3 linked regions of the Oryctolagus cuniculus genome follow. The protein of the gene in region 2 purifies or fractionates together with the protein of the main gene of each other region. This does not show direct contact. Links are inferred from orthologs where the notes say so. Each region holds a gene or a part of one and is shown on either strand. Other genes may lie near its edges.

Region 1 (5,821 bases), on a different chromosome or scaffold from region 2:
AAAGCGTTTCACGGGCGTGTGGCCAGGGTGGGGCACCCCGGACCCCAGGACGGCAAGCCTCCTGCCTCCTCTGCTGCGGCCTGGGGCTCCCAGAAGTCCAGCCTGTGGGGGCCGTGGTGCCCTCCCCGTCTAGGCACCGGAGGCTCTGTGGTGGGACTTGAGGCCCTAGGGCAGGTTCAGCAGGGAGTGCTGGGCGTAGAGTTTCTGGGAGACGTCGTACACGCGCTCAATGAAGGGCAGGGCCTCGCCCAGCATCTCCACCGCCTGCTCCGGGGACCCCACGTTCATGGCCTCCAGGAAGACCTTGCGCGTGGGCAGGGTGCAGAAGGCCACGGTGACGGCCCGGCGCACGATCCAGGGGTGGTAGGCGGCCAGCGAGGCGTTGTAGGAGTCGGTGCAGAGCACGGAGGTGCGGGCGTCCTCGGCGCTCGTGCGCAGGCCCTCCAGGAAGAGCTGCAGCCAGCGCAGGGCGCGGTGCAGGCGCAGCACCGTGCGGCAGCCCGAGTCGGGGTGGCGGGAGCGGCGGTCCACGTCCACCAGCTGGTTCCCCGTCTCGTAGGCCATCATGGACTGCAGGCTGACGTAGTGCTCGTGCTGGGGGCTGGCCTGCAGCTGCTCCATGATGCGCAGCTTGGAGACGACGTCCTTGGAGATGAAGGAGAAGACGGCGCCCAGGCTGTTCAGGAACCTGCACGGGCGGCAGGCGCTGCAGTCCCCGCCCCAGGCTCCCGCAGCCGGCGGCTGCCCCGCCCGGGCCCCTGACGCACCTGACCAGCCCCTTCCAGCTGGCGATGTAGTGGTCCAGCAGCACCTCGTCCTTCTCGTTGAGACACTGCTTGAAACTGACCAGCACCACCTTCAGGTTGAAGTCGGCCCCCGCATCCTCCATCTTCCCGGTGAGCGCTGTGCCACAGGGGGGGTGGGACGGTGCCGCCATCCCCTCCACCCAGCTCCTTCCCCAGGGGCCACCGGCTCTGAGTGGCCCTGGCTGGCCCTACCGTGCCCCCTGCCCAGACGGTGCACCCACAGGGCGGGTCACCCACCAGGCCGGCCCTGAGCCCCGGTGGGCCGCTGCGCTGCACGGCCGTCTCTCTCACCCCGTTCTAGCTGTCTCCCCGTTAGGAGAGAGGTTTTCCGACCCGCTGCCAGGAGCCAGGGGGCTGCTGTTGGCGTGGGGACCCTGGATATTTGCAAGATCGCTCACAGGCCTCGCAATGCGGCCCACCTGGAAATCAGCCCGCGTCGCCTCGGCGCGGTAGAGGGTTTCGCCAGACAGGAAGCTCTGGGCAGACGCTAGCTCCTAGGGGCCTAAGCACCCCGGGACGCAGAGATGGAGTGGAGGGGCCGGGGGGGTGAGAAGCTTCCCCCTCTGCTCGCTTCTGCACCCCTGAAATCGGAGCAGGGGCAGTGGGGCGGCCTGGCTGCTGCCGGGTCAGGGTCAGTCTTCCCCACCCCCACGGCCGCGGGCCCCGAGGCAAGCTGTGCCCTGGATTCCACTGACACTCACCCGGTCACTCCACAGACATCCAGGTGCCCACGGGCTGTGTGGGTGCCGCCAAGCAGCCAACCAGCCCTGCTCCGGGTGCCCCACTGGCCGTGGCCTGGTGGGGGCTGGCACGGCAGGTGGCTCTGACAGGCCCGGGCCTGCTGCTGGTGCCAGGGGCCCCGCCCTGGCCTCTCCACCCCCGCGGTGCTCGGTCTGGACGGCTGCCTGTGCTGTGAGCCACGGCTAGGAGTGGACCCCTGGGTCCCTATGCAGCTGGGCAGGTGGCTCCCGGCCCTGTGACCGGACGTTGCACCCCTGGGGGCTCCACTGGTTGGGTTGTGTGCCCGGCACCGGGTGAGGCCGAGGGGAGCAGTCGGCCACACCTGGGCCTCCACGCTCTGGAAACGGCTTTCGAGGCCCCCAGGGACACTGCCCCGGCCACCAGATATCCGGAGGGCCCGGCCTTTCCCACCCAGAACCTGAGCCGGCGGCCAAGAAGGAGCCAGCTGCCTGCGGCTCTCGGGGCTGTTCTGCCTGGGCTGGGAACAGGAAGGGCAGTGGCTGTGCGGCAGAGTGCGGGCAGCCGGCCAGCGCCAGGAAGACGCTGCGGGCCGCCTCGCGCCCTCCCCATGGCCAGCAGAGCCAAGGACTCGCGGGGGCCCCCGGGCCTGGCTCCCTGTCCAAGTTAGCCTCGCAAATCTCACCTGGGAAGGGGGTCCGGATGGCACCGTGCTGGGTGGGGCCTGGGTCCGGGGAGCGCCTGCTTCGGCTAAGGGACCCAGGGGTGCGGGCCGAGGCCGGGGTGCTGGTGAGGAGGGGCTGACGTGAGCGGGGAGCGGGGTCCTCGGCCACCCCCGGCCGTTTGGTTGGTCCGCCGCCGCGGATCCCTGGCCTCAGTCGCCGCCGCCGCCGCAGGCCCCGCCCGGGGACCCGGAGCCCCGCCCCGCCGGCCCGATTGGCTGCCGCCCGCCCAATCAGGACGCGACTCACCGGGGGGGGCGAGTTTCCGGCGAGGGACCGGAAGCAGCAACAGAGCGGTTGCGCCTGCGCAGGTGCCACCGCGAGTTGGTGCGCTCCAGGCCCGGAGTTGCGGGAGCCGGGCGCGTGCGGCTGCCCCCCGCCCCTTCCCGGCGAGCCGAGTTCTCTGAGTCGGGGAGCGCAGCGGGAGCGAGGCGCGGGCGCCAGGAGCGATGCCAGAGATCAGAGTCACCCCCTTGGGTGAGTCGGGGCGCCCAGGGCCGGCGGGGCGGGGTCCCGCGCTGGAACTCCTGCGGCACGGCCGGGGGCTCCCGTCCCTCGCCCGCGGGGCGCACAGCTCGGCGGCAGAGCCCCTGCTGCCCAGGCCCTCGCTCCGCGTCCGGCTCCGGCGGCGCCGTCCTGACAGGGCCCGTGGCCTGCGGGCGGCCCTGCACCTCCCGCGCCTGCTCCCCGGCCCGGCCCCGCGCGGAGGGTCCGGGAGGCGCGTGGTCTCTGCGCCCGGGCTTGCGGGGCCCCGGGTGACCGCGCAGCGCTGACTTAGCCTTCCTCCTCAGCACGGAGCAGGGCCCAGGAGGGGCTGTGTGGGCCTCTGTGTTTCCGCGCGGGGGGCAGGGCTGCCGGGGCCCGAGAGCCGGCCTCGATTCCAGCAAAGACGCCCCCCGGGGTGCTCTGGTGCCCACACCCTTGAATTGGCCATGCTGGCGGCCTCCGTGAGCCTTGCACGGCTGCGTTCGGACCTCAGCAGGGTCCCCACCCTCGTCTGTTAGTAGGGGCGGGGGAAGGCTGGAAGGAAACCCAGGCACCCACTGGGGCTGGGGGCAGGCCGAGGTCAGGTCACGTGGCTGAGTGTGTGCTGGGGAGGGGGCACAGGGGTCAAGATGGAGACGGAGCTGCTGACCCCTGCTGCGTCTCCAGCTGTGCAGACCCCAGAGGTCGCGTGCCACCGGGAGCCACGCCTGCCAGGCCCTTGGAGGGGGTAGGGGAGGGTTCCCAGGCCCTTGGAGGGGGTAGGGGAGGGTTCCCAGTGGGGCTGAGCGATGGTGCTCCCCACACAGCTGCTCTGCCTGGGCCACGTCTTCTGTGTCTGAGGCCACGCGTGTCCCTCCGTGGCTGTCACTCAGCACCTAGGCGCTTGGGGACCAGTCCCAGGAAGGAGGGGCATCTAGCTCAGCCGGGGGCCAGCCACCGCCCGGGAGTGACCTGCAGCCGCCATGGGGCCTGTGGGTACAACCTTGAGAAGCAGGGCGTGGCGTGGCGAGGGAGGCCGGGGCTCCTCTGGGCTTGGGCACCTGGTGCTTCCTGGCGGCCCTGGGGGGTGCGGGTGGGCACAGGCATAGCCCAGCCTTTCACACGCCCTCCCCTGAGCAGGAGCCGGCCAGGATGTGGGCCGCAGCTGCATCCTGGTGTCCATCGGGGGCAAGAACGTCATGCTGGACTGCGGCATGCACATGGGCTTCAACGACGACGTGAGTGCCTGGGCGGGGGCGGGGAGGGGGCGGGGAGGGGGGCGGGGCCAGGGAGCTCCTGCAGCCAGGGGCAGGGCTGGGGGTAGGGAGTTCCTGCAGCCAGGGGCAGGGCGGGGCCGGGGAGCTCCTGCAGCCAGGGGCAGGGGTGGGGGGCCAGGGAGCTCCGCAGCCAGGGGCAGGGCGGGGGGGGGGGGGGCTGGGGAGCTCCTGCAGCCAGGGGCAGGGTGGGGGGCCAGGGAGCTCCTGCAGCCAGGGGCAGGGGTGGGGGGCCAGGGAGCTCCTGCAGCCAGGGGCAGGGCGGGGGCCGGGGAGCTCCTGCAGCCAGGGGCAGGGGTGGGGCCAGGGAGCTCTGCAGCCAGGGGCAGGGCGGGGGGCCCGGGAGCTCCTGCAGCCAGGGGCAGGGGTGGGGGCTGGGGAGTTCCTGCAGCCAGGGGCAGGGCGGGGGCTGGGGAGTTCCTGCAGCCAGGGGCAGGGCGGGGGGCGGGGCCGGGGAGCTCTGCAGCCAGGGGCAGGCATGGAGGGTGAGTGGCATGTGTACCCAGATGGTGTCCTGTGCAGGCTCTGGGCAGAGGGCGGGGCTGTCACTTCCTGGGTGCTCCCCAGCATTTTACAGGTGGAGCCAGGCTGAGGCGAGCGCCCCTGGGGTGGGGGTCGGTCTGGCCGCTGGGTCCCATGGCCGCTGTGTCCTCCTGCGGTTGGCTCAGCGTCCTGCCGTGCGGCCGGGGAGGACGGCAGGTGCCTCGCCAGCAGCCTGCTCCTCGGGAGGCCGTGAGTGGCCAGCAGTGCTGGGCCCTCCAGCCTGGCTTGAGTGCTCACCTGGACCCCTCCCGGGGGCCACCCTCTCCCGGCTTCTCCACAGCGGCGCTTCCCCGACTTCTCCTACATCACTCAGAACGGCCGGCTGACCGACTTCCTGGACTGTGTCATCATCAGGTGGGTGCCCGGAGGGGCCGCCTCGGGGTGCGCAGCCCTCAGAGCAGCGCTGGTCAGTGCCACGCCATGGAGGATGAGGTGCACTCGCCCCACCCGGGCGGAGAGAGAGGAGAGAGGAGTTCTTCCATCCACATCCGCTCGTTCACTCCCTGAATGGCCGCCCCAGCCAGGTGTGGTCCGGCTGAGGCTGGGAGTTCCGTCTGCCCTCTGGTGAGGCGCAGGGCCCCCGGCGCGGTAGCAGGGGCTCCGTCTGCCCTCTGGTGAGGTGCAGGGCCCCCGGCGCGGTAGCAGGGGCCCCGTCTGCCCTCTGGTGAGGTGCAGGGCCCCCGGCGCGGTAGCAGGGGCTCCGTCTGCCCTCTCTGAGGTGCAGGGCCCCCGGCGCGGTAGCAGGGAGTTGCATGGGAACCACAGCGTCCAGGACTCTGATATGGACCCAGCGCTGCAAGGAGTGGCCCAGCGCCTGTGCCTGGCCCCAGTTCCCCCATGAAGACTTTGACAATGGTGACTGCCCTTCTGCTGGCCCTCGATCCTCCCCGGTCACAGTGGCCCGGCCCCTGACCTCTCACCCCAAGGCGTCGCAGCATCTCAGTGCCCACTGGACAGGAGGAGGAGCCGAGTGCCCCCTCCTCTCCCCTCTGACCACCATCCTCACTTGTACTGGGCAGTGCCACCCAGTGGCCAAGCGCTGTGCCTCTGGCCCCTGCCTCCCACGAGCAGGTCTGTTAGGCCTGCAGCAGCTGTCTCAGGAAGCCGTGTCCTGAGCACCTGTGTCGCATGCTCCTTCCGGACATGGGCCATGGCCTTCCCTGGGCTGGGCACTGGGGCTGCCTCCACCCGGTCTCCCTGAGCACCGTCAGGGGCTGGGCACTGGGGCTGCCTCCACCCGGTCTCCCTGAGCACCGTCAGGGGCTGGGCACTGGGGCTGCCTCCACCCGGTCTCCCTGAGCACCGTCAGGGG
Region 2 (5,726 bases):
AATTTTTGTTTCAAGTATTCCTCAGCTGCAGACTTGAGGCAGTCAGGCCAAGGTAGTCAAGACCAGATTCATCGAACTGAATCTTCAGAACTGGATTCCACAGGCGGAGAAGACATTGTGGATTTCTTCGGAAGGAAAACGTATTCTGACCAGTGTGGTCCCGTATTGCTCATGATGATGCGCACTCTCCTTGACCGAGTGCTAACAGGAGCTTCCAAGAATTCCTTCCTTAGGAAGTCATGGCATCTAATGATTTGGCAGGAGGACATATAATTATATCTTCCCTCCATTTTCTGATGGTGGTGAGCCAAGCAGTCTTATGTCAAGAGAAAATAAGTTACAGGGAGCGCACAGTACTTCGGACAAACGTATTCATTATAATCCTAGCACACAGTGGGCGTTGGGCACTTCTCCAGACTGACGTCACTATCTACTCTGCAGGTGGAGAACTCAGGCAGAGAAACGACTCTGACCGTGTTCCATACTGCAGGCCTGGAGGGTCGGCTGTATGAGTGTGGCTGGGACAGCGCACTGAAATCCTGACCACTTGGGCCAGTCCCTTCTCTGGTGTGAGGGTCTGCTTCTTGCCCAGCTGTCAGGTCCATGACAACGTGGTAAAGAGCAGGCAGGCACACCCGGCTCGGCTTCAGGACCCTGGACACCCAGTGCTGGGCTTTTCCCCACTCACTCCACACGGTCCCAACTCTTTCTCCTGTGTTGTTCGAGGACTTTCACTGCAAAACAGCCTCAGCATTTAGGCTAAAGGTCTTTTTACAGTCTGGGGAGGAGTCGAGGGGCTTTCTTCTGGGCACACTAGTGGGAGGCACTAGTGGGGAAGGCCGGGCCAGTGGGCCTCGCCCAGCAGGTTGTCTTGGACGAAGGCTCTTCAGTTCCGCCACCGGCTGCTGGCGATGCACTCCTGGGTAAGTCAGGGCGCTTGGGAGTGGCAGGGTTGAAGGCGACCAGAACCAGCTCTTGCCTTGTCCTTCACGGCTAACTGTCCTTGGTAAAGCTTTTCCTGGAGTCATCATAATCGCTATTCCCAACAATTTTCAGGCAGCACCATGGGCTCCGTCATGAAGTTAGGGCCCCGTACCTGTTCGGACGACCCCTTCATATCCCAGGCCCTGCGTGTGGCACACAGTTGGCCCTGCAAGGAGCCCAGTATTTCTGCAAATGTAGGGGAAACGGGATGCGAGGTTGCGCGAACCCCGGAGGCATTCAGGACCAGGGCAAGGCCGGTCGGATCGCAGGGTGTCTGCGCTTTCATTTCTAGGATCGTGGCCGGCACGCGGCCAGGGCTCTCGGACCAGGAGGAAGGTGCACGCACACCGGGAGCGCAAGGCGACGATGAGCGAGGTCGAGGGGGCCAAGGACCCGGGGCCCGCCGTCAGAGACGCCCAGGCCCGAGGACAGACGTGTGCTGGGAGTCAGGTGCCCTGCGCGGCTCCACGCGACAGGTGTACCTCCCCCGCCCACGACCGACCTAATTACACGGTGCCGGCCGCGCCCATTCCTGCTCCCACAGATGCGGGAGTCCCACGCAATTCCCGCGCTCCTGCACCCTGGAGAAGCCATGGGGTCGCGACTCTCGCCTCCGTGACCTGGCTGCCAAGCAGCACCCCAGAGGCCTTCCCAAGGAAACACGTTTCCGGCTGACGGGAGACCCCCACACCCCCGCGTCCCCGACTGCGCCTGCGCCGGGCCCGCGCTCGCGCCTCTCGGGGCGTAGTGCTCCGGGCCGAGCCCGTTCGCCGCTGCGGGCACTGCGCATGCTCGGACTCGGGTCTTCCCCCCCACCCCCAACCCCCAGGCCTCTCCTTTCTAAGAGACCACGCCCTAAACGCGAAGGCGCCTCGGTCTCCAGCCGGCTACATCGCGCCTGCGCTGTGGCCCCTCGTTTGCGCCCCCTCTCCGGCCGTGCGCCCGACCCGGGTCCGCCGTGTGGCTGCGCAGCTTGCGTCCGGGCTCTTTCTCCGTCGGCTGCCCGCCGCCTCCTGACGCCGCGTGACGTCACCACGCCGGGCAGCCGCCATTACAGAGGCGAGCTCCGGAGCTAGGGCGAGCGGAGGAGGCGCAGCGGCCGGCGGCCGAGCACTGCGGGGAGAGCCAGCGGCCAGCGCCGGCGCCGAGCGACCGCCAGCGGCCAAGGAAGTACCCCCCGGGAGCCGGCGGCGGCGTGTGCGTGTGGCCCGTGTGCGGGCGGCGGCGCGGGAGCAGCGCAGAGCGGCAGCCGGTTGGGGCGGGTGGCATCATGGACGAGAAGGTGTTCACCAAGGAGCTGGACCAGTGGATCGAGCAGCTGAACGAGTGCAAGCAGCTGTCCGAGTCCCAGGTCAAGAGCCTCTGCGAGAAGGTGAGCTGCGCCCGGCCTGCCGGGGCCGCCGAGGAGGCGGTGTCCGTGAGGAGGGTGCAACATGGCGGAGGCCGCCGGCCGGGCCGAGCCTCCCCGACCGGCGCCCGGCCTGGCCTGGCCGGCGGCGGCTCCCGGACGACCCGACGCCCCCTGCCTCCCGCGCACGGATTGGCTGTCGTCGCCGCCTAAAATGGCGCCGTTCACCCGACGCCGGGTCTTGGGAGCCTGCGGGCCCGGGCTCCAGGCGGGGTGGCAGGAGGAGCGGAGACCCCGTGGCCAGGCCCGGGGACGGCTTGGGGCCCCCGGGTCGGCGGGCTGGGGTGCGTGGCCCGGGAGTGGGAGTGGGCCTCTGTGGTGCGCTGAGGGGCGTCTCGGAGCCCGCGCTGCCCGCAGCAGCCCCCAGAAGCAGGCTTGAGGGCCTGAGGCCCCGGCGTGACCGCCACCCGGGGGAGGGATAGTGTCCACCCGGCCCAGGCTCTGCCCCCGGAGACCTCTTGGAGGAGTGTCTTTAAGCATTTTTTTAAAAAAAAGCCTGTAACCTAATTTCTGCGAAGGTCATGGTAGTTCTAAGGGGACAGAGTATAACTTCTTTCTCAGAGTTGGAAGAAATGGGGAATTCGGTGAGTCATACTACATAAGGAGCTTCTGGGTTGGAAATCCAGTCAGTGTAACCTATGATTTATATGCTGACTCAAGCCGGGCAGTGAGGAACCCTTCTCTTGAGCCTAACATACTTGGCGTTTTGCCATTTGTTTTTAAAAATGAGCAACGTAACCTGGAAACGCGGCGAATTTTGTGCTCTCTTCGTTGAAAAAGTTCCATGCTTGTCCGTTTTGGGCTGCAAATGGTAGTAATACTTGCTAGTGAGCACTTTATCCCAGACGTTGCGCTTCAGGTTGAAATATCGTAAAGCGTTGGGAGTGGAATATTGTCCACGAAATAACATTGAATTTTGTGTTTTCTGTTACCAAAATCTGTTTTGGTTTTCCCCAGGGATTGGGGAAACGGAGTATCCATTAGCTGTACGTAATTTTTAATTTTTGTTAAGTTTCCCACAGTACACAAAATACTGATCTCCTTACGAACATATTAAATTTACCCTTTGCACAATTAACAGCATTTCATTTTAGCACAGAATTGTGGAGTACTGCCAGCATTGTGTGTTAGTGAAAAGAGTTTTTGGAGAACTGTTAACGCTGACTTGTTTGTGGTTCCATGTGAACATTAGGTTCATGTAGTGGAGGTTTCCAGACAAATCATGCTGTAAACTATTGGAATTTAAGTTAGATTTATTTCTCCCCGAGCCTGAACAGAGCACTAATAGTGGGGCAAGCACATCATCTGCTGGAGCTGGATCCTACGGCTCCAGTGTGTTGAATCTCCAGTTTCTTGACTTGAAATTCTCTCAGATCATATGAGGCTAGTCTTTACTTTTTAAAGATTTAGAAATAGGACTTTGAAAATTACTTAATGTGTATTGCCAGGTCTTAATTTCTAGCTTAATATAAATGATGACTTGACTGACTGCAGATTCAGAACTTTACGGACTGCACTTTGAGTCAGTGATTGGATGACTAGTCATTTGTGAAGAAAACACTGAGAAGGGAGACGGGGATGTAGTTGGAAGACCAGCAGTTGGGAGTTGGTCCTCTTCCTGCTCCTAAGTGAGTGATTTTGGTTAACTTCGGGGCAGACACTCAGATAGTCCTTGATTTCCTGTCTATAGAAGAAGGAATTAAAATGTATTCTGGGAGCTTTGGAGATTATGCAGTTTCATCTGAAATTAGTTCTTTGTGTTTAAAATTTTAGCACTTATTGAATATCCAAGATTGCATATGTTTATGGGAGCATGAAAAGCAGCAAAAAATAGTGATGTAAGGTTGATAGTTCAGAAAGTTCATGAAAGATGCCTATTACGAAAAAACTGCATGGATGGCAAAACTTTTGCATCCAAATAAACTTATAATTCTTTTCTCTATAAACTTTTTTTAAATTTATTTTATTTGAAAGATTTACAGAGAAGGAGAGCTCTTCCATCCACTGGTTCACTCCCCAAATGGCTGCAACAGCTGGAGCTGAACCAGTCCGAAGCCAGGAGCCAGGAGCTTCAGGGTCCCCCATGTGAGTTCAGGATCCCAAGCACTTGAGCCATCTTCCATTGCTTTCCCAGGGCATAGCAGAGAGCTGCATCAGAAGTAGAGCAGCTGGGACTCAAACTGGTGCCCATATGATGCTGGTGCTGCAAGGCCGGGGCTTTAACCTGTTGTGCCACAGTGCTGACCCCATGAATTTTTTTGAAGTGTCCTTGTATTGTCAAGGAGCTTTGAGTTGAGTTGGAAAGAAAGGTATGAATGGGTAGGAGCAGCAGGAGATGGAGCCTGCAAGTAGTGGGGGTTTTTCAGACTATAGAAGGTAATAGAGGGTGCCAAGGTGAGAGGGCTGATGCTTCATGGACTCCGTGTTCATGGTTTTTCCATGTCTTTGTGGAACATAGTTGTGACGTTAATTGACTTAGATCTCCATTGTTGTGTCCATGATTTCAGGTTTGAGATTCAGAAAGATGGAAATATTTATAGCTAGGTATTATGTAAAGGTTTCCATAGAATAGATCATTTTTGGTGGATGTCACTTCCACCCCACTTTTTATTCACCCATTGAGAGGCAGAGAGAGCACTCATTTACTGGTTCACTCCAAATGCCCACAGGCGCCAGAGCTGGGCCAGGCCAAAGCCTAGAACTTAGCATTCAGTCAGGGTCTTCCATGTGGAATACCAGGACCCAAGTATTTGGGACATCACTGCTCTGTCGTAGGGTGTGTATTAGCAGGAAGCTGGATTGGAAGCAGAGGAGCTGAAACTTAAACCAGGTGGTATATGGGTGTCCCAGTTGGTATCTTAGCCACTGTGCCAAATGCTTGTGCCTATTTCACCTCTATATTAATCTAAACTAGATTAATTTGAAGATGACTTGGTATCTTCAGTACAAGTTGTCTTTTCACTACTAAATTTGTGTGGGTGATAAGGTTGTTTGGCCTAGTGTTTTTTGTTTGTTTGTTTGTTTGTTTGTTTTGACAGGCAGAGTGGACAGTAAGAGAAAGGTCTTCCTTTACCGTTGGTTCACCCTCCAATGACCACTGCAGCACTGTGGCTGGCGCACCGTGCTGATCCGAAGCCAGGAGCCAGGTGCTTCTCCTGGTCTCCCATGCGGGTGCAGGACCCAGGCACTTGGGCCATCCTCCACTGCCCTCCCAGGCCACAGCAGAGAGCTGGACTGGAGGAGGAGCAACCGGGACAGAATCTGGCGCCCCAACCAGGACTAGAACCCGGAGTGCCGGCGCTGGCTGGCCTAGTGTTTAAGAGGCTCATTTCCA
Region 3 (5,865 bases), on a different chromosome or scaffold from region 2:
AAGATAGACCATGAAAGTCTCTCTTTTGAGTTGCACCCTAGGGAAATGGAACTTTACTTCAAAGCAGGCCAGTGCTTTAGTAGCTGTGTTCATTCATGATTGGTGGCAGTATAATTAGTATACTTGACTCGTAGTAAATATTCTAATTGTGTTTTTCTCTTTTCTTCCTCCAATGTGATTGAAAAATGGTTAAGGTGGAAAAGAATGAATTGAAGTAAACAGTCAGGAGAATGTTTATCCAGGAAGGAATGTTCTCTTTTGACTTAAAATGTAGGAACTATTCAACATTTTTCATCAAATCCAAGGCACTAATACTTTTTTTTTTTTTTTTTTTTTTTTTTTGACAGGCAGAGTGGACAGTGAGAGAGAGAGACAGAGAGAAAGGTCTTCCTTTTGCCGTTGGTTCACCCTCCAATGGCCGCCGCGGCCGGCGCGCTGCGGCCGGCGCACCGCGCTGATCCGATGGCAGGAGCCAGGAGCCAGGTGCTTTTCCTGGTCTCCCATGGGGTGCAGGGCCCAAGCACCTGGGCCATCCTCCACTGCACTCCCTGGCCACAGCAGAGGGCTGGCCTGGAAGAGGGGCAACCGGGACAGAATCCGGCGCCCCGACCGGGACTAGAACCCGGTGTGCCGGCGCCGCTAGGCGGAGGATTAGCCTAGTGAGCCGCGGCGCCGGCCGGCACTAATACTTAAGACATCAGTGGTTCATGTGCCACATAGAAAATGAACCCATTATAAGATGCCCCAATTTGGGGCATGTTAAAATGTGAAAAAGTTATCAGAGAATTAGTGAAAAATAATTTTTTGTGGCTAGAAATGGTAATGGGCTTCAATATCATATTGGCCTTAAAATGAGATTATTTTCTCAAACTTTTTCTCTGGCTGCATGCTTTTCAAACATTTTTAATCACAAAAGTAGTAATTATATTACAGTCCTTTGACAATCAAATGTGATATAAGGACAATTAATTTGTAGGATTATTTGCCACTTGAGAAGAGAATCTGCCTAATTTAAACATTAGGGCTGCACAGTCTTTCTAAAAATTGTGGCGGGCATTTGGCACAGAGGTTGCTGCTTGGGATGCTTGGTTCAAGTCCTGGCTCCTCTGCTCCTGATCTAGCTTTCTGTTTATGTGCACCCTGGGTGGCAACAGATGACATTCAAGTCGATGGGTCCCTGCCACCTACGAGGGAAACCTGGACTGAGTTCCTGGCTCCTGGCTTCAGCCTGAACCAGTCCCAGCTGTTGGTGGGCATTTGGGGAATGCACTAACAGATGATTTTCTCTTTCTGTCTCTCTGCCTTTAAAATAAAATGAAAATAAATAAAAGTTTTAAAAATTGATTTGATAGTAGTTAAGGGGGGTTGGTGGTGTGGCCTAATGGGTTAAGCTGTTGCTTGTGACTTCGGCAGCTGCTCTGAATGTTGTTTCAAGTCCTAGCAGCTCCATTTCTCAGCCAGCTCTCTGCTAATGCACCTGGGAAAGCAGTGGAAGATGGTCCAGGTTCTTGGGCTCCTGCACCCACATGGAGATCTGGATGAAGCTCTTGGCTCCTGGCTTTGACCTGGCCTGGCCCCAGCTGTCTTGGCCATTTGGGGTGTGAACCAGCGAATGGAAAATCTGTCTCTCCCTCTTTTTCTCTCTTTCAAATAAATTCCCCTTTTCTTTAAAAAAAAAAAAAAAAAAGTCATCATGAGAGGAAGCAGTACACTTGATAGCTTACAGACCAATGGTGCAGGGTCTATATAATTATTCTATATATAGTCTGAGTCTATATAACTATTATCAAAATTATTTCATTGACAAACGTTATTTTAATGATTTGTCAGGTGGAAACAAAGTCAGAAACACTGAAACGCACATTAGTGCTTTTTTTCCTCTGCTGATCTATTTTGAAAGCCAGACCTTATTTTAAAAGAGATTATTCATCTGTTAAAGCCTTGCAAACTGTAAAGTATTATTTAGCATTGATACTTGGTAAATAGAAGGTCCCAAACACATGTTGATTTAACTAGGTAGAAGAAACAGCATGTATTTTAGACCTTGAAGAGGTTTGGGCTCTCTTTCCAGAAGTACCAGATACTCATAATTTTGAACAGATTCCAGGGAATTCCTGAAACCACATCCTACGAATCTATGGACCCTAAGTTAAGGACGCTGAGAGGAAGAGGTCTGACTTCGGACGGCGCTGGTGGGACATCGAGAGACTTGAGATTAGATTTCTTTTTAAATTCTCCGCCACATCCTGGGATTCTGGAATTCTGGTGCTGAGAGGACCTACTAGGGGAAGATTTAAAGAAGCGTGCAGACTGGTTATGTAGTGTTCCGGTCAAACAATAGTGGGGACAACATTAACATCTCTTACACACGCGTTGTGTGTTCTGAATGCCTCGATAATCCTGTGATGAAGTTCCTGAAGCTCCGAGGGGGCTTAGTAGCTTGTCTAAAAGGACACAGCTCTGGAAAAACGATAGAATCCTTAGCCCAAACCGTCGGAGCCGAACCTGGGCAGGGAACAGCGCGGGCGGAGGAAGGGGCGGGGCCGCGCACGCGCACGCGCACGCGCACCGGCGCCCTGGCGCCGTCGGCTCTGGGTTTCCTCTTGCAGCTACTCTTCCTTTCAGTCCAGTACGGTGGCCGACGGGAGCCAGACGCTGGGGATGAATGAAGGAGCTGGGTGCAGGTTGAAAAAGTCTCCTCGGCTTTTCCCTTCCTCCAGTCTGGGTTCTGCCCTGGTGCGGTGTTCCCGTCCTGCCCCCGTCTTGCCCACCGCCCGGTCGGTCCCGGCGTCTGAGCGCTTGGTGCCCAGATCGAGTCGGGCACAGCTAGGGTGTGGGGATTCGGATTACCGCCTAGGCCCAACTTCGGACCGCGCTCTCGATTTCTGCCGCGGCCGCCTGTAGGACGCAGAATCCCAGTGGGGTCCCGTGAGGCTTGGAGGGTAGATCTTCAGGTATGAAGCGTCCGCTTCTCAGGCCTCAGCGCGTTCCCCGGTCTTTGTCGGCGACCGGCTAGACTTCTCTCAGCCCGAGGGACTGGCTTCTGGTTCTGTCCGGGGCAGGACCGGTCTTGGCGCCTCTGCCCCGGCAGCCCAGCCCTCTGTTCAAAGACCAGCTCCTCCTGCTTCAGAGCAAATCAGCGTGGCTGCCCACGCCTCGCACCCACGGTGCTGCCAGTCGGTCGGTCTTAGGGGATGGCTCTGGCTAACTGTTGCTTTTTTTTTTTTTTTTTGATGACTCCTGAGGACAGGCAGCTGCCCGAGTGGCGCTCGTCTTTCCCCGTGGCACAGCTCCTTGCACCTACACGTGTGCTTTTTATCCATAACGCAGGGGGTGTAGGGAAGAGTAGCCCTTAGAGCCGGGATGTGCCGTGGCTTGTAGCCAGCGAGGTGATTCTCCAGCGTTTGCACTGGGGGAGGACGGGGAGAGAAGCCGCAGCTCCTTACCCATGTCGGAGAGGCTGTGAAACCAGGCGGGTGGGGCAAGAGGAGCCGCCTTAGCTGTGGCCGCTCGCTTAGCTTTTGTGGCGCTGGGGGGACTAGTGCAGAGGTTTTAGAGAGGGCTCGAACAGGGATTTGGTCGATGACGGCTGAGCCTTGGATTTTGCCACTAACTAGTTGTAGTACTTTGGGCCTGTTCCTGTATCTCACCAGACTTCGTGTTCTGTGGAAAAGGCTAGAAGAGGCATTAAAATTCTCTATTTTCTTATTTCCCAGGTGGCAGTAGGAAGAGAGGCAGACAGAAAAAGCCTTGTCTTTATTGGTGTCCGGAACGTTGCCAGTTGAGGGGCCTGTGACAAGTGTACCACATTCCCAGGGTTTTTCAAAAGAAGGCGTTTACACCACGTGGACGTTCTACCCCAACTCTCTCTCTTTTTGTCACTAGGATCCACAGTGATGATGACTGAGTGTGCAAGCCTTCAGTTTGTCAGCCCTTTCGCTTTCGAGGCAATGCAGAAGGTGGATGTGGTGCGCCTGGCGTCTTTAAGTGATCCGGAACTAAGACTTCTCCTGCCCTGTTTGGTACGGATGGCGCTTTGTGCTCCTGCTGACCAGAGCCAGAGCTGGGCTCAAGATAAAAAGCTCATCCTCCGCCTTCTGTCCGGAGTGGAAGCCGTCAACTCCATCGTTGCGTTGCTCTCGGTGGACTTCCACGCTTTAGAGCAGGATGCCAGCAAGGAGCAGCAGCTTAGGTAACGTTCCGTTATGAACCGGGCAGATCAGGATGTACTTAGATTGGCTGAGGAATAGGGCATCGGTGGTTTCTCAGAGCTTGGAGAGCTCCTCCAGAAAACAGAATGAGAATGTAAACTTCAGAGACTATTCTACTTAGGTCTTTTCTATTTGTAGTTAAAATCCTAGGGTCTTTAAAAATATCGTGTAGAAGTTTGGCCTTATTCTGTTGTCCGGCTAAACTGATGTGGCCAGTTACTTTGTGGGAAGTGTTTAGGGTAACTCCCTCTAGATTACAGGGATGTATTACAGGATGTATTAGAATCATTTGGGCAGCTTTTTAAACTTTTTTTTAAAAAGATTTATTTATTTATTTGAAAGTCAGAGTTACACAGAAAGAAAGGGAGAGGCAGAGAGAGAGAGAGAGAGAGGTAGATCTTCCATCCACTGGTTCACTCCCCAAATGGCCATAATGGCCGGAGCTGTGCCAATCTGAAGCCAGGAGCCAGGAGCTTCCTCCGAGTCTTCCCATGTGGGTGCAGGGGCCTGAGGACTTGGGCTGTCTTCTACTGCTTTCCCAGGCCATAGCAGAGAGCTGGATCAGAAGCAGATGGGGGCCGGCGCCACGGCTCAATAGGCTAATCCTCCGCCTTGTGGCGCCGGCACACCAGGTTCTAGTCCCAGTCGGGGTGCCGGATTCTGTCCCGGTTGCTCCTCTTCCAGGCCAGCCCTCTGCTGTGGCCAGGGAGTGCAGTGGAGGATGGCCCAGGTACTTGGGCCCTGCACCCCATGGGAGACCAGGAGAAGCACCTGGCTCCTGCCATCGGATCAGCGCGGTGTGCCGGCCGCAGCGTGCTGGCCGCGGCGGCCATTGGAGGGTGAACCAACGGCAAAGGAAGACCTTTCTCTCTGTCTCTCTCTCTCACTGTCCACTCTGCCTGTCAAAAAACAAACAAACAAACAAACAAAAAAGAAGCGGCCTTATGGGATTCCAGCACTGCAGGCAGTGGCTTTATCCGCTGTGCCAAAGAGCCGGCTCCCAGCTTTTTAAACTTTTGCTGGTTCACAAAGGTTCTGGGTAGATGTTATGTCCTTCTCCCCCAAACTCCTCCATAATGAATCCAAGAGTAACCCACTAGTTTTAAGGGAAGTGATGTTTACTATCAGTTGTGATGGAGTCTTTATGTATGTAGGTTGTGAATCCCTGAGATGATAGGTAAGCTAAATAATAATCAGAAGTCATAGAAGGTATTTAAAATTTTTATGTTCTTTTGTTGGTTATTTTAATAAAAGATAATTTTTATGCATTACTTCCACACAAGTGTTCTCATACGTGTTGTTTTATGTGTTTGTGCTTCATTAGGCATAAACTTGGAGGAGGCAGTGGAGAGAGCATCCTGGTTTCCCAGCTTCAGCATGGACTGACATTAGAGTTTGAACACAGCGATTCACCTCGGCGATTGCGTCTCGTGCTTAGCGAACTGTTGGCAATCATGAACAAGGTGATTTATTTTGAGCACAACTCAAAGTATTTATGCTTTGATATCTACATATAGAAAGGTTGTGAAGAACAGGGCAACAAGGCAGGCAGGCTGTGTCCTTTCCTACTTGTATTTCTTTTTTAAAGATTTATTTATTTATTTGAAAGAGTTACACAGATTGAGGAGAGGCAGAGAGAGAGCGAGCGAGAGGT

What was found. The genes of interacting proteins can lie anywhere in the genome.
Region 1: the proteins of PPP2CA (region 2) and INTS11 purify together in Homo sapiens (affinity purification with mass spectrometry; 4 studies listed by BioGRID and IntAct, with this or other methods). This does not show direct contact. The link is inferred for Oryctolagus cuniculus from reciprocal best matches to the Homo sapiens genes PPP2CA and INTS11.
Region 3: the proteins of PPP2CA (region 2) and INTS2 purify together in Homo sapiens (affinity purification with mass spectrometry; 4 studies listed by BioGRID and IntAct, with this or other methods). This does not show direct contact. The link is inferred for Oryctolagus cuniculus from reciprocal best matches to the Homo sapiens genes PPP2CA and INTS2.

Annotation. Positions count from the first base shown.
Region 1 is NC_091438.1:164,182,882-164,188,702, forward strand, and holds the start of INTS11 (integrator complex subunit 11), read left to right. Parts: upstream 1-2,509; 5' UTR 2,510-2,676; coding exon 2,677-2,704; intron 2,705-3,519; exon of another isoform or gene 3,520-3,684; intron 3,685-3,832; coding exon 3,833-3,930; intron 3,931-4,789; coding exon 4,790-4,863; intron 4,864-5,821. Other genes in the region: CPTP (ceramide-1-phosphate transfer protein), read right to left, coding at 166-688, 768-937.
Region 2 is NC_091437.1:22,518,320-22,524,045, reverse strand, and holds the start of PPP2CA (serine/threonine-protein phosphatase 2A catalytic subunit alpha isoform), read left to right. Parts: upstream 1-2,120; 5' UTR 2,121-2,254; coding exon 2,255-2,356; intron 2,357-5,726. UniProt on the Homo sapiens protein: Catalytic subunit of protein phosphatase 2A (PP2A), a serine/threonine phosphatase involved in the regulation of a wide variety of enzymes, signal transduction pathways, and cellular events.
Region 3 is NC_091448.1:35,531,799-35,537,663, forward strand, and holds the start of INTS2 (integrator complex subunit 2), read left to right. Parts: upstream 1-2,553; 5' UTR 2,554-2,665; coding exon 2,666-2,684; exon of another isoform or gene 2,685-2,954; intron 2,955-3,885; coding exon 3,886-4,192; intron 4,193-5,535; coding exon 5,536-5,674; intron 5,675-5,865. UniProt on the Homo sapiens protein: Component of the integrator complex, a multiprotein complex that terminates RNA polymerase II (Pol II) transcription in the promoter-proximal region of genes.